2 linked regions of the Notamacropus eugenii genome follow. The protein of the gene in region 1 interacts with the protein of each later gene in a pairwise test. Links are inferred from orthologs where the notes say so. Each region holds a gene or a part of one and is shown in the gene's direction. Other genes may lie near its edges.

Region 1 (7,552 bases):
TCCATTCTGCTGATCCAACATTCTGTTTCTTGACCAGTACCAGGTTGTTTTGATGATTACCACTTCAATATGTCATATTATTAATGTGATCATTTTATTAATAGTTTTCCTTATGTTGAACCACTTCAGTGAACTACATTGCTGGTATAAACCCAGCCTAGTCATAGTTTATGATCTTTCTAGTCCAGTGTAGGAAGCCAGAAGTTCTGTACCAGGCCCTGTCATTAAACAGATCCTATATTTCCTCCTCTCTGGGTCTTTGCTGCTTTTGAAAGAACTGGGTGGGCTGGCGATCCTCTATCTTTTACCAGCAGTGAGGACGTGTGGGCCTGTTAGTTTCTCCTGCCTTCACTCAGAGTGACCTGATAGTGCTTTGTTCTGAGAACCCAGGTTCTCCTCTGTTCTCTTTCAGAACTTCCTCTCATGAGGCTGAAGACCTTATGCAAACTGGACTCTGTCTAGGCTGCCTGAGAACAGTGCCTTGTGGTTTTCTGACTCAGACACTCCTCTCTAGGCTGTTTACTCCACTCACCTCATCTTTGGTTCCTTGTTTAGATCCATCATGTCATGGCTCCATCTCTTCCCTCAGAACTCAAGGCTCTCTGACTGGCATTTTGAGGCCACAAAGACCAGTCTCTTCCCCAGTTGAGAAATTGTCAAAATATATGAAATTTTTCCGATGAAAAAATTAAAGCTACCTACAGTCATATGAAAAAATGCTCTAAATCACTGCTGATTAGAGAAATTCACATTACAACAACTCTGAGGTACCACATCATACCTATCAGATTGGCTAACATGACAAAACAGGAAAATTATAAATGTTGGAGAAGATGTGGGAAAATTAGAACGCTAATGCATTGTTGGTGTAGTTGTGAACTGCTCCACCCATTCTGGAGAACAATTTGGAACTATTGCCTAAAGGGCTACGAAACTGAATATCCTTTGACCCAGCAATGTGCCACTTCTTTGCCTGGGATCAGAAAAATGGGATCTACATCCACATGTACAAAACTATTTATAGTAGGTCTTTTTGTGGTGGCCAAAAATTGGAAATTGAGGGGATGTCCATCTATTGGGGAATGGCTGAACAAGTTGTGATATATGAAGGTAATGGAATACTATGTTCCATAAGAAATGATGAGCAGGCAGACTTCAGAAAAACCTGGATTTGAATGAGCCGATGCTGAGTGAAGAGCAGAACAAGAGAATGCTGTACACAGTAACAGCCACGTTGTGCAATGATTGACTGATAGATTTAGCTCTTCTCAGCTATGCAACGATCTGAGACGACTCCAAAAGATTCATGACGGAAAATGCCCTCCACATCCAGAGAAAGAAGTGTGGCATCTGAATGCACATGGAAGCTCACTATTTTCTCTTTATGGGGTTGTTTTTTTCTCTTTCTCAAGGCTTTTGTTCTGATTCTTTCAAAACAAGACTGATGTGGAAATATGTTTAACATGATCATAGATGTATAGCTTGTATCAGATGGCATGCCATCTTGAGGAGGAGGGAGTGAAAGGGGGAGGAATATTTAGAGCTCAAAATCTTATAAAAGGGAATGTTGAAAATACTATAAATAAATCTGTTTAACAAAAAAAGACCAGTCTAGTTCCCTGACTACTTTATGACTGCTAACGGAGAGCTGGAGTTGAAGTCACAGATGTGTGCTTGCACAGATTCTAGGTCCTTGGAGGATCCTGGAGATGATAGAATTGGAACAACCTTTCCCCAGCCCTATTTACAGATGAGGAAACTGATGCCTAGAGAACGGTATTTGCTCAGAGACAGAGGGTAGCTGTGTCTCAGGGTTAAGGTTTGTAACCTGCCTCACCACCTCCAAGTCTGATGCTCTTTCCACTTCACACTGTTAATGTACCAGTATCCTTTCAGGTCCGAGTGTATGACCCGGCCTCCCCACAGCGGCGGCCAGTGCTGGAAACCACCTATGGAGAGTATCCCCTGATGGCAATGACCCTTACTCCAGGGGGCAAGTGAGTGATGGGGGCAGGGATGTTTGTGGGCTCTGGGGATGAAGGAGATTTTGAAAACCAGCTCATGTCGATCCCTGCCTGCCCTCTGGTTTCTTTCCCCAGCTCTGTGGTGGTGGGGAACACCCATGGGCAGCTAGCAGAAATTGACCTTCGGCAAGGTGAGTTGGGGGGTACGGCCTGGGGGGCAGTCTGGGTCATAGGAGAGGCTGGGCAGCAGTAGCTTCTTGGCCCTTCCTGGTCTTCCCCAGGGCGCCTGGTGTGCTGCTTAAAGGGTCTGGCAGGCAGTGTTCGGGGTCTGCAGTGCCATCCCACTCAGCCCATTCTTGCCTCCTGTGGGCTGGACCGAGTTCTGCGGATACATCGACTTCGAGAACCTCGAGGACTGGAGCACAAGGTAACTCCACCCCCACCCCACCCCCACCCCCCTGGACTTCTCTTCAGCCCCTTCTGCCAAGTGCCCTAACTGTGCTGCTCATCCACACTTTCTCAGGCTTCTGGGGTTGGGGAGGAAGACCAGGAGCCCCTCCCCGCTTCTCAATCTCACCCCCTTAACTGTCTCCTTTAGGTTTACCTCAAGTCCCGACTGAACTGCCTCCTCTTGTCAGGAAGGGACAACTGGGAGGTGAGAACCACATCATGTCTACTGGGTGCCAGGGGTGCCAGTGTTAAACATGGTGGCGCAGGGGCTTAGCTGAGGACCTGCCTCAGGTGCTAAGGGGAGAAAGAGGGAGGTTGTCTTTGTGTACAGATCAGTGGGAGACAAGGCTGCTGGTGTGGAGGGAGCAGTGGCCCTGGACCTGGGTCCTCTCCTTCCTCAAACCCTACCCCCCACTTTGTGCCCCTCTGACCTTGGTAAAGGAGAAGCCACTCCAGTGCACTGGGCTCAGAGTCCAGAACCAGACACTGATTAGCCAGGACTCTGGCCATGTCACTTCCCTTCTGTTTGCCTCAGTTTCCTTAGCTGTAAAATGGGGCTGACACTGTGATCCTCCCTAGGTTGTGAGGATCAGATGAGAGTCACATATGCACATAGAGGCAGTGCAGTGCCTGGCACAGAGGAGTTGCTTAACATGGGTTCCCTTCCTTTAATTTCCCCGTGCCTCAGTTTCCTCAGTTGTAAAATGAGGGCATTAGACTAGAAGGTTTCTGAGTTCCCTTCCAACTCTAAGCTACGATCTTGAGAGACATAAGCTGTCATATGAAACCAGAGCGGGGTCGGCCTGATCAGCTCATCCCGGAGGAAATGGAGACCCCCTAAATGGGGAGACTGATCAGGTCCAGGCCTCCCCTACAGTAAGGGTGGCTGCTCTGGGCAGTGAATGGGGAGGAGGAGGGGGAGGGCACTGGGGAAATTGGAAAGGCCTGCCCTGGATCTCAGTGCTTCTGGGCAGTCTCCCCATAGACCTTCCCTTTCGCTCACCAGGATGAGCCCAGAGATCCTGTCCCAGTCCCCTCCGAAGAAACCGAGACTGATGAGTTGTGGGATTCGTTGGAGCCCGTGACCGCAGGGGCCAAGAGGAAACGGCAGCCTGTGGGGAAGAAGCAGCAACCGGCGTTGGGGGGCCCCCCACCTCTGCCCCCCCTTTGTAAATAAAGAAGTCACCCCCTTCTGTGACCCTGCCTCCTCCTTGCGAGAGCCCGGCCCGGGACCCTGCGGCGGCAGCCCGCTTGGGGGGCGGGGGTGGGGAGGGCTCTGATGTCACAAAAGCTCGGGCCTCCGGCCAGAGCGATGGCTGCCCGGCCTCCAGGTCGGCGGAGGGGACATGGGCTGTGCCAGGTCCAAGAGCAGGAGTCACGATGACGTGTGCCCCGGGGAAGAAATGGAAGGTAGGGCGTGGGGGGGCGGCTGCCCCGGGCTGGGGGGGCTGGCCGAGGCCCGGAACGCCCCGAGGTGCAGACGGGCAGCGCGGCTCCCTCCCCGCCCCGCAGGACCGGCCAGCCGCTACGAGGGGTCCCACAAGTCCAACGACAGCCTGATCATCACGGTGCTCTGGCGGAGGCTGTCCATGTTCAGCCGGCGGGGCTCCACGCGCCAGCAGCAGCCCGCGGTGAGGACCGCGTCCGGAGCGAAGTCGGGCTCCGCCGGGCGGACCCCGGAGGCCCCCGAGCCGCAGCAGTTCGAGGAGCTCACGTCGCCCGATCTGGGCCGAGACCCGGAGCCCCGATGACGCCGGCGGAGCCCCGCCCCGCCCCGCCCCGCCCCCCGGAGAAGAGAATAAAAGTAGTGACCTGGAGTCGGGAGGTGGAGCCTGCCTCGGGTCTGCCTGGGGGAGAGGGCGCGGGGCCTCAGTTTCCCCTAAGCTGAAAGGGGAGGAGCCGCGAATCTGCGCGGCGAGCCCTTTAAGGTTCTTCGGGAGGCTGTGGCGTAACCCAAGGGGCGTGGCGCCGTAGGTTTCCATGGAGGAGGGAGGAGGCGGGACTTGGGGGAGGGGATTAAGCCGGCTGGTGGGCGTGGCATGCTGGGAGCCTGGGTCGCTGTCGGGGGAGGGGCGTCGCCAAGGAGTCTCCCGGGCGAGTGGGCGTGACCGTCACTGTTGATGCGGGGGCGTGGCCTCCGCCGCCGGAGGGGGGCGTGTCGGCGCGCTGCCGTCATTTTGGGGCGGGGCCACGCCTAGGTGACGTGTCAACCTCTGGTCTCTGGTCCCGTTTCTCTGGCTCGTCCCCGGGGAAGAAACAGTACCGGCCCGGGTGGCGGAGGTGGCGGCAGCAGGCAGCGACGCGGAGGTAGGAGACGACCCGGACGAGCCTGGGGAAGACGCTGGGGCCGAGGGCGGCCGGCTCTCGGTGGGGCGGGGATGGGGGGGACGACGACCGACCGGGGAGACCGGGGACTTCTGCCGGTCCAGCCGCTGGTGAGCGATGCCTCCCCTACCCAATCAGAGCGCCGCCTTCCGTGAAGGATAGCGGCAGCAGCCAATCGTTGCCCAAAGCCGCGGAGGGGGCGGGGTTTAGTCTGGGGCGGGACTTCCGATGTCAGATAAACATTTTGGAGGGTACCCCTGACCAGCATCCTGTCTCCTGGGAGCCCCAGAACGGAGACCCCTCTTCCCTCTCCACCCCCTGAGCCTTCCTCCGGCTCTCTTTCAGCCCTTCCCCCATCCTTCCTCCCGCCCCCTTTCTCCTCCTGCCCCTCTGGTCTCTTCGCCCTCTTCCTTCATTGCCCCCATCTCTCCCCCTCCCTTACTCCTCCCCATTTTCCTTAATCTCTGCCCCTCCCCCTCCTCCCCCATTCCCCCCACCGCTCTCCCCTCCTCCCCCATTCCCCCCACCGCTCTCCCCTCCTCCCCCATTCCCCCCCACCGCTCTCCCCTCCTCCCCCATTCCCCCCCACCGCTCTCCCCTCCTCCCCCATTCCCCCCCATCGCTCTCCCCTCCTCCCCCATTCCCCCCATCGCTCTCCCCTCCTCCCCCATTCCCCCCCACCGCTCTCCCCTCCTCCCCCATTCCCCCCCATCGCTCTCCCCTCCTCCCCCATTCCCCCCCACCGCTCTCCCCTCCTCCCCCATTCCCCCCACCGCTCTCCCCTCCTCCCCCATTCCCCCCACCGCTCTCCCCTCCTCCCCCATTCCCCCCACCGCTCTCCCCTCCTCCCCCATTCCCCCCACCGCTCTCCCCTCCTCCCCCATTCCCCCCCATCGCTCTCCCCTCCTCCCCCATTCCCCCCCACCGCTCTCCCCTCCTCCCCCATTCCCCCCCACCGCTCTCCCCTCCTCCCCCATTCCCCCCCACCGCTCTCCCCTCCTCCCCCATTCCCCCCCATCGCTCTCCCCTCCTCCCCCATTCCCCCCATCGCTCTCCCCCTCCTCCCCCATTCCCCCCCATCGCTCTCCCCTCCTCCCCCATTCCCCCCCATCGCTCTCCCCTCCTCCCCCATTCCCCCCCACCGCTCTCCCCTCCTCCCCCATTCCCCCCCATCGCTCTCCCCTCCTCCCCCATTCCCCCCCATCGCTCTCCCCTCCTCCCCCATTCCCCCCCATCGCTCTCCCCTCCTCCCCCATTCCCCCCCATCGCTCTCCCCTCCTCCCCCATTCCCCCCACCGCTCTCCCCTCCTCCCCCATTCTCCCCATCGCTTTCCCCCTCCTTTTCTCCTTCAGCCCTCCCTCATTCTTTCTCTTTTCTCTCCCCCTTCCTTTCCCACCTCGCTTCATCCCTTTTCTCATTTCTTCCTTCTTGCTCTTCTCTCCTAACCCCTCCCCCATTCCCTCTCTTACTTCTCTCCCCCTCGTTCCATTCTCTTTTCCTCTCAGTTCCTTTTTGTCCTCCCTTCTTTCCCCCTTTTTACTTTTCTCTCTGGAGCCCCCCATTCCTTCTCCCTTGTCTTTCCCTTCTTCCCCTTTTGCCCTCCAAGGTGACAAGTATATAGGAACTGGACCTGGAGGTGGAAGGGAACTTGCAGTTAAAATGTGATTTTAGACACTCCTTAACTGGGTGACTCTGGCCCAGTGACTTCAGTTTCCTCCTCTGTAAAATAAAGATAATAGGAGCCCTGGTTCCCTCTCAAATGAGACATCTCAGAAGAGCTTTTAGCAGTGTCAGCCACATAATTGGCATGTAATAAATGCTCATTTCCTTTCTCCCCCTCCCCATTCTCTCCCTCCTCCTTCCTTTCCCTTCTCCCCCTCCCCATTCTCTCCCTCCTTCCTTTCCCTTCTCCCCCTCCCCATTCTCTCCTTCCTCCATCCTTTCCCTTCTCCCCCTCCCCATCCTCTCCTTCCTCCTTCCTTTCCCTTCTCCCCCTCCCCATCCTCTCCTTCCTCCTTCCTTTCCCTTCTCCCCCTCCCCATCCTCTCCTTCCTCCTTCCTTTCCCTTCTCCCCCTCCCCATCCTCTCCTTCCTCCTTCTTTCCCTTCTCCCCATTTACTTTTCTCTTCCTTTTCCTTCCTTCCTTTTCTCTGTTGTTCTCTCTTTGATTCTTACCCCCAGCACTCCTCTCTCCCCTCTGCATTTCTTCCTTTGCTTTTGCTTTCTTATTTCTGTGTTCACTTCCTTATCTTTATCTCTTCTTTCCTCAGATTTCTCCTCCCATTCTCCCTTTGGCATGTACAGCACAGACGCCTTGAACTTGGAGTGAGAGCCCCTGTGTTCAGAGGGGCCATCTGTGTGACCCGGGCAAGTCCCTTACCCTCTCTGGGCCTCAGTTGCCTCATCTGTAAAGGAAAGGGATTCGAGTCTCTTCCACTTCCTGGATCTGTGCTCCCTTTGCCTGACCCTTTCTTTGAATCCCCCCTTTTCCATCCTCTCCACCCTCGTTATTCTTTGTCCCATTTCATCATGCTATGCTTTCACCCCTTTTCTGGGGCTAGTTGGAGGGAGTGTGGGGAGGGACGAGAGGAGGAACGGAAAACCTGTCAAAGACCCGGACTTGGCTGCAGTCCATCCATCCCCTGTTCTTGTCCTGACACCTCTGTTACTGTATGATCTGATGATCCTAGGTCAAGTCTCAGCCTCCATTTCCCTGTCTGTAAAAGGAGACTCTTGAACCCTTGGACAGTGCGTCCTTGCCAGAGTTCTTGTGAGCTTCTGAGCACTCTAGAATGGGAACTCTTCCTGCCCT
Region 2 (7,007 bases), about 10 Mb from region 1:
TTATGTTGAATTCAACAAGCATTTAAGCAGCAACCTATACAATTTGCAATGTCCTGTGTTAGTCCTCTATTTGTCTGTGTACTGCCTTGCCCTAAAGTTTATCCTAGTGAACTATTTTTGGGTAGCCCTCCCCCACCCCACCTTCCTACCCCAGGAAAGGACAGATGGGCTGTATTGTAATTGCAGGAGACTCTAGAACAATAGATTTTGAGCTGAAAGGGACTTCTGAGGCCACAGGTCTAACTCCCTCCATCCCTTATTTGAGTTAAGGAAACTGAAACCCAGGGCAGTTAAATGACTTTTCCAAGGGCACATGGGTGCTAAGTTTTAGAGGTAAGATTCCAATCCAAATGCACTGATTTAAAGGCCAGTGTTCTTTTCCCTGTACCAGAAGGTCAATCTGAAAGCCTGAATCATAGTCAAACTGAGACTTGTTCTAGACCTTAGCTTAAAAAGGCCAAGGTCTCCCATTGCATCCTGGGCCATCTCCAGTCATCCTGATCTATATCTGACCACTGAAATGAGGCTGGAGGCACAGTCCTCCTTCACTTAAATCTAATTCACTTGCATGTCATGATATCACCTTCCTGATACCATGATTCTCTTTGAGAGCAAAGGACAAATGTAGCAGAACCAAAGAATGACCCTGGAGGAAATTTAGCTTTGATTTAGCCTGAACCCACTATTCTAAAGAGGTGGGAAACTGGGGCCAAGGGAGAGAAGAAGCTGTTACACATGCTAGACGTTGTTCTAAACACAATTATTTTACAAATATTTTCTCATTTGGTTCTGCCAACAGCCCTTCAAGGTGGGTGCCATTCCCACTTTTCAGTTGAGGAAATCAAGGCACAGAGTAAGTGATTTGCCCAGGGTCACACAGTTAGTGTGTGAGGATGATTTGAATTCATGTCTTCCTGACTCCAGGCTCAGCTCTCTATCCTAGGTAACAACAACTGGGCCAGGACTTGTTTGCCTAAAGTCACATGACTTGTAGGACTGTGCCAGGATCTCAGATCACTTGACTGAGTTTTAGGCTTTTCCCCCCCAGTTTTCTACCATCTTCAATGAGATAATAAGTTGTAACTTTTATATCCACAATACTTTACAATTTACTAAGTACTTTGCACACACTATCTCCTTTGATTTGTGCTAGGATTAGCCCCATTTAATAGGTCAGAAAACATGATCAGTGAGGTTGTGACTGGCCCAAGGTCACACAGCAAGGAAGTGTCTGAGGAAAGATTCAAACCCAGGTCCTCTAGACTCCGAGTCCAGCTCTTTTTCTATTGTGCCACAAATTACGTAAAGTTCTTTGAAAACCTAAAAGTATTATCTAAATGTCAGTTACGATGATTACTCCACTATACTACCTATTTCATAAATTGTCAGATAGGCTGGTGAACAGGCAACATCTGGTAGAATGTGCATGAAAATACTTCCCCTTTAATGAGCAATGATAGTCGAGCTGGCCAGAGGCCTCAGGTGAGCAGAGCAGCCTCGGATGATGGAATAAAGTCAAGTCAAGCAAGTATTTATTGTTTCCTATGTACCACACACTGTGCCAAGGACTGGGAAACCAAATATGGATAGAAAGAAAGACAACGTCTGCCCTGAAGGACCTACCATTCAAAGTGGGGAAATAACACATGAAGGGAAGCTGAAACATGAGGGGGTGGGGCTGGCCTGCTAGAAGTGAGCACAATATGGCAAGGAATGGAGACATGGCTGACTTGAGCATCCTCCTTGAAATGGGACTTTGGGGAGAAACCAGCCAGTCAGAGGGAGAAGCCAGAGGGCAGAGTATACTTCCCAAGTGAGAATCTAGGGGGTGAAGTGAAACTTCTAGGGTGAAGAGGAATAGTCTGAAAATGCATTGCAGATCATAAAGACCAAAAACTGCAAGTTCAAAGTCCTTAGAGATTATCTAATCTAACTTCTTCATTTTACAGATGAGTAAACTGAGGCCCAGACAAGTGATTTGTCTGAGGTCACAATGATATAGCTGAGCCAAAATTTAACCAGAACCAGAACCAGTGGTCTTTCTGTTACAACTTAGTGCAGCCAAAGGGAAATAGAACATTCCTCAGTGACCTTTCTAATTTTTCTGCTGTAGGGAATTGGTAACAAGGCAAAGATTAGGACTAAGACAGTATCCAGACAGGAGAAAAAGCCTCTGGGAGAAGGCAGCAGAGAATAACCAACAATAGCTAGCTCTTTAATGAAGGAGGAGAGCTTACTTTTAATCCAATGCTTTTAGAAATGTTGGCAGAGTGGAAAGAGCTTGGGAATGGGAGCCAGTTAGCCCCCTGAGAATGTGCTTCTACCACCAACTTGCTAGGGTGATCCTTGGTAAGTCATTTTTATCTCCTTGGACCTTAGTTTTGGCAAGTATAAAAGAAGGGACTCGGATGAGCAGAGAGGATCTTTGAAATTTCTTTACACTTCAAAGCATTCTGATTCTGTGACTCATGCATCTATTCCAGCAGGTGCCCATTGATGTTGACCTTCTACCAGGAAGAGAAGTTAGGGCCAGTTTAGCTGGTGTGTTTGACATATTTGCTGTTCTCCAGTTCTGTTAGCTCTTCCACTTCCTGGAGACCACTCTTCTCTCTTCACCAGTCCTTTACCATCCTTTTCTGATTTACTTCCAACCCCATGGGGTTCTGCTTTCTCCTACCCTCTAAAATTTTCTTTCTTCCCCTGGGGACTCTCGCTACCTTCTTTCCAATTCTCTAATATCCTTTTCAGCTTGTCCTCCACTCCCCCGACATTTCCAGCTCACCTAGGGCCAGCAGACCTTTCCAGCCTTACTGTATATTATTTCCTTTCCCATGCTGTATGGTCAAGCCAAATTGGACAGAATACATCATCTCTGATAGGCAGCCCCTATTCCTGGAATGGTCCCCTCCCCCATTTTTTGTTTTTGCCTTTGGCTCTAAAAATCCATGGAAGTTCAGTTCAAGAAGTATTTCATTCTTGAGAGAGGGGGTGGAGAACCTGTGACCTCAAGTCCCCAGGTGGCTCTCTAGGTCCTCAAGTCTGCCACACTTGAGGACCTAGAGGGCCACAATGGGCCTCAAGGCCACAGGTTCCTCACTTCTGCCAGGCCCTTCCCTGAGACAGATGCCAGTGCCTCCCTTCCTCCAAATTGCTTTGGCATTCACTTATATGTGTACATATTTTTCCCCATATAAACTTGTTGAGGGCAGGGACTGGTTGCTTTTTTGTCTTTGCACCAGCACGGTGCCTAGGTATCTGGCAGAAATGCTTCTCCGGTTGAATAATAGCCCCAGAATTAGGGTTAGGGTCAGAGCTGACGCATGGAGGACCCCAGTTTGAATGCATTAGCTGTGAAGTCACGGCAAGTCTCCTCACCTCAGGGGGCCTCAGTGGGCCTCAGTGTCCACGCCCGTGGACCTCAAAGATCACTCTGCTCTACACTCCACTGCTGCCTTCTCCCAACCTCCGATGACGTTTCAGATTCCTTCTTCGTCTCCCGGGAGACCTTGGCTGCGGAGGAGGAGGAGAATGTTGAGGCTATGGGAATGAGAAGAGAAGAGGAGGAAGGAGAGAAGGAGGAAAAGGAGGAAGAGGAGCGCGGGGCGGGGGGAGGTGGGGACGGGGGGTGGGAGTGGGGAAGCCTGTGGGCCGCGGCTGGCTCTTTAAGGCCTCTGAGCAGTGGGCGGTGCCCAGGTAGAAGGGGCGGGGCCCCGCCAGCCTCCGCCCTTCCTAGAGTGTCCGGGAGGATTAGTCCGGCTGCAGTCCTGCGCCCGCCTGGCCGGCCGGGGATCAGGCTCCGAGGCTCGGGGGCGGATTGAGACAGCACTGTCGGGCTGGGGCCGGAGAGGTGGGGAGCGGGCTGTCAGTCCTCAGCGGGACTGCGACGCTCCTCTCGAGGCGCGGCTTCACCCTTCTCCTCTTCCTTCACCTGCGGCCAAGCTCGGGCGGCCACTTCCTGCCGCTCCCCTGGGCCGTGCTCACCTGGGCCGTGCTCCCCTGAACGGCGCTCACCTAGCAGTGCTCCTTTGGGCGGAGCTCCACTGCCTGCCAGCGCCAGGGAGGGGGCTCCCGGGAGGCTCCCCTGGCCAAGATGAAGGACCGGCTGGAGCAGCTGAAGGCTGTGAGTGCCGTTGCCCCAAGGGGTGCACCCGGGAGGAGGAGAAGGTGGAGGTGGAGGGCAGTCCCCTTTCTTTGGGGGGGGGGGGAGTGGGAGGGCCAGGCACCACAGCACAGGAGGCTGTGTACGTGCTAGAGGGGTGGGAGGTTGCCGTTCCCCTTCTCCAGTCGTCTGATCCCCTCTCCCCGGGTGCTGCGGGCTCCCCTCCCACCCTGTGTCCTGTGCCAGCTGATTCATGCCAGAGAAGCTGCTACTTCCCCGACCGTCCCTGCCCCACACCCCTTTCCGTCTGTCCAGCTTCTCTGAAACTCTGAATGGGTGAATGGTTGCATCCCAACCCCTGGCTGGCAGAGGGTAGAGGGCGGTGGGGCTACGTCTTCCTGGGGGAGAACAAAGAGGTCATTCAGGTCACTCCTTCTCTCTGTTTTCTCCCTTGGGCGCTCTTGACTTTCTCCTCCAGGCACTCTTCTTTTCCTCCAGCCTCTCCCATGAAGCAGCTGACGCCTCCTTCAACTTAAAAAAAAGTCCTGTCTGGCTAGCCGCTTGGGCTCTGCTCCTCGCTATCTCCTCTGGTTATTGATTCCCTCCTTGAGTTTCTGTTGTCCAAGATTTAGTTTTCTTTCTCCTCCCTAGCCTTGGCCAAGTCCTTCATTGCCCTTTGACCTGAACTTATTGTAGGGACTCAAATGAAACCAAAGTGCCAGGTTTCCTCAAGGTTCGCCTGAGGAGCCTAGAAGGACAAAAACAAGGGCCAGGGTTTGTCGTGGGACTTTGTGGGGAATCCTGGTGGGGACGTGGTCGGAAGGTCCCCTCTGTTCCCAGGGGCCTGTAGGCATAGAATGTCTGTTACCTCCCTTTAGTTAGGACTGGACACATTCCAAGTCATCTGAGGGGTCTCTTCAGTTGTTTTAACAACTCCAGGGAGAAGCAAGAAAGATCCTATCTGTTCAATTGTTTCCAACAAGAAATTGCAAATTAACAATGCTCCAAGTGTTTATTAAATGCCTGTGCTAGGTGATGGAGAGACAAAGATAGCCTGAAGCAGTTCCTACCCTCAAGGAGCTTACTTTCAATTGGGGTCAAGAATATCTACCCGTATAAGTATATTTTACAAATTGGGGCTAGGACTGGACCTGTGATTTCACCTATATAGGGAACTGCCAGGTGAGGAAGCTTCTCTACCAAAGTAGGTTGCCACATATCATCTTATGGAATTGCCCATGGTGCTGGGTCACATGACCAGCATACAAGTGAAATCCAGGACTTGTATTCAGGTCTTTTGGGTGCCAGGACTGGAGCTCTAACCATGACACCATACTGCTTCTCATAAAGGTTCCATACAAAATGCATGCTAAATAAATTGAATGAAGTTAAAGGGAGAGTATTAGCAGCTAGTAGGATCAGGAAAGGCTTGGAGAAGGCAGTGGGGAGCACAGTCTTGACTGAAGCATGGGATTCCATGAGATGGGTGAGGAGGTTAGGTATGAGATAGACCAAGGTGAAGGGTAATGAGGTGTGGCAATAGAGTGCCAGGCTTGGACCCAGGAGGACTCATCTCCTTGAATTTAACTCTGATCTCAGATACTTAGTAGCAATGTGACCCTGGGCAAGTCACTGCACCCTGTTGCCTCAGTTTCCTTATCTGTAAAATGTACTGGAGAAGGAAATGGCAACCACTCCAGTATCTTTGCCAAGGAATCTCCAAATGGGGTCACGAGGAGTCTGACACTATTGAAATGACTGAACAACAAAGGTGTGTATGTGAATGTATGTGTGTGTGTGTGTGTGTGTGTGTGTGTCTGTGTCTGTGTGAGAGAGAGAGAGATACACACACATGTGGGAAAAGACCTGGTTGTAACATTAAGGGACCTAAGTGATCACAGAAGATCATTTCTATGATCACAGGCATAGAGTCAGAGGGTCCTTCCATCTAGCCCCTTCATTTTAATGAGGACGCAGGGAGGGAAAATTACTTGTCCAAGGTCATATAGGTAGTAAGTAGAAGAGTCAGAGTTCCACCCCCTGTCTTTTGACTCTCGATTCAGCCTCTCTCCATGGTACTTGCTTTCATGGGACCCAAAGAGCTGCTCTAGAGAGGCTTGGGTTGGGGGGAATGGAAGATTTGTGGGAGAAGGGAGCTCTAGGTTCTAGGCTCAGCTCTGCTGTCAACTAACTTTGAGTTAAAGCAGCCCACTTCTCTTGGTCCCTTTCAGCTTTGAATATTAAGAGAAAGCAAGGCATAGTGGATGGAGAGCAAACCTTGGGGGAACAGAGATCTGAATTCAAATCCAGACTCTGATATACTAGTTATGTGATCTCAGTATCCCCAGGTTAATTCTCTTAAGACTATAAATTACAGAGGAGTTGTGCATCTGCATTGGAGGAGGGCGCTCTCACACAGGAAGTGACCGCATCCATGATATCAGAAGTCTGAACCATTCCCACTGCCAAAAAGAAAAGAAAAATTACACATAACTCTGAGTGAGACAACAGTTCAGAGAGAATTACATAAACCCAGCTCCTTTTCCTGGAAGCTTCATTGGTTCCAGGCATGGTGGTAAACATCAGGGCCTTCACAATTAGCATCCTGCCCCTACTCCAGGACTTAGGTTCTTTCTGAAGTCACAGTCACAAGGCCTGAGTCTTCCCTTATCTTTGATACTGGGTCCCTGAGTAAGTCATCATAGCCACAGACTCTCAGGCCAGACTTCTGGAGTACCTGTAGTCAGTAAGTGAAATGTAGGGATAGAATGTCTTATTCACCATGAATACCCAGATGTGCCAGAAAGGGACCTGGCCTGGCTTGGGGAAGTTATTTCTTACTGATTTCTTTTTGAGTATTTCTAGATCATTTAACACTAGGCCATTTGCATAACCTTTCTCAGCCTCA

The links.
Region 2: the proteins of STX5 (region 1) and STX3 interact in binary tests that used the Homo sapiens proteins (3 or more experiments, as listed by UniProt). The link is inferred for Notamacropus eugenii from reciprocal best matches to the Homo sapiens genes STX5 and STX3.

The regions. Positions count from the first base shown.
Region 1 is NC_092873.1:15,894,007-15,901,558, reverse strand, and holds the start of STX5 (syntaxin-5), read left to right. Parts: upstream 1-4,530; 5' UTR 4,531-4,721; exon of another isoform or gene 4,722-4,849; intron 4,850-7,010; exon of another isoform or gene 7,011-7,107; intron 7,108-7,552. Other genes in the region: TEX54 (testis-expressed protein 54), read left to right, coding at 3,761-3,824, 3,927-4,165. UniProt on the Homo sapiens protein: Mediates endoplasmic reticulum to Golgi transport.
Region 2 is NC_092873.1:5,641,088-5,648,094, forward strand, and holds the start of STX3 (syntaxin-3), read left to right. Parts: upstream 1-3,985; 5' UTR 3,986-4,090; coding exon 4,091-4,120; intron 4,121-7,007. UniProt on the Homo sapiens protein: Potentially involved in docking of synaptic vesicles at presynaptic active zones. Apical receptor involved in membrane fusion of apical vesicles.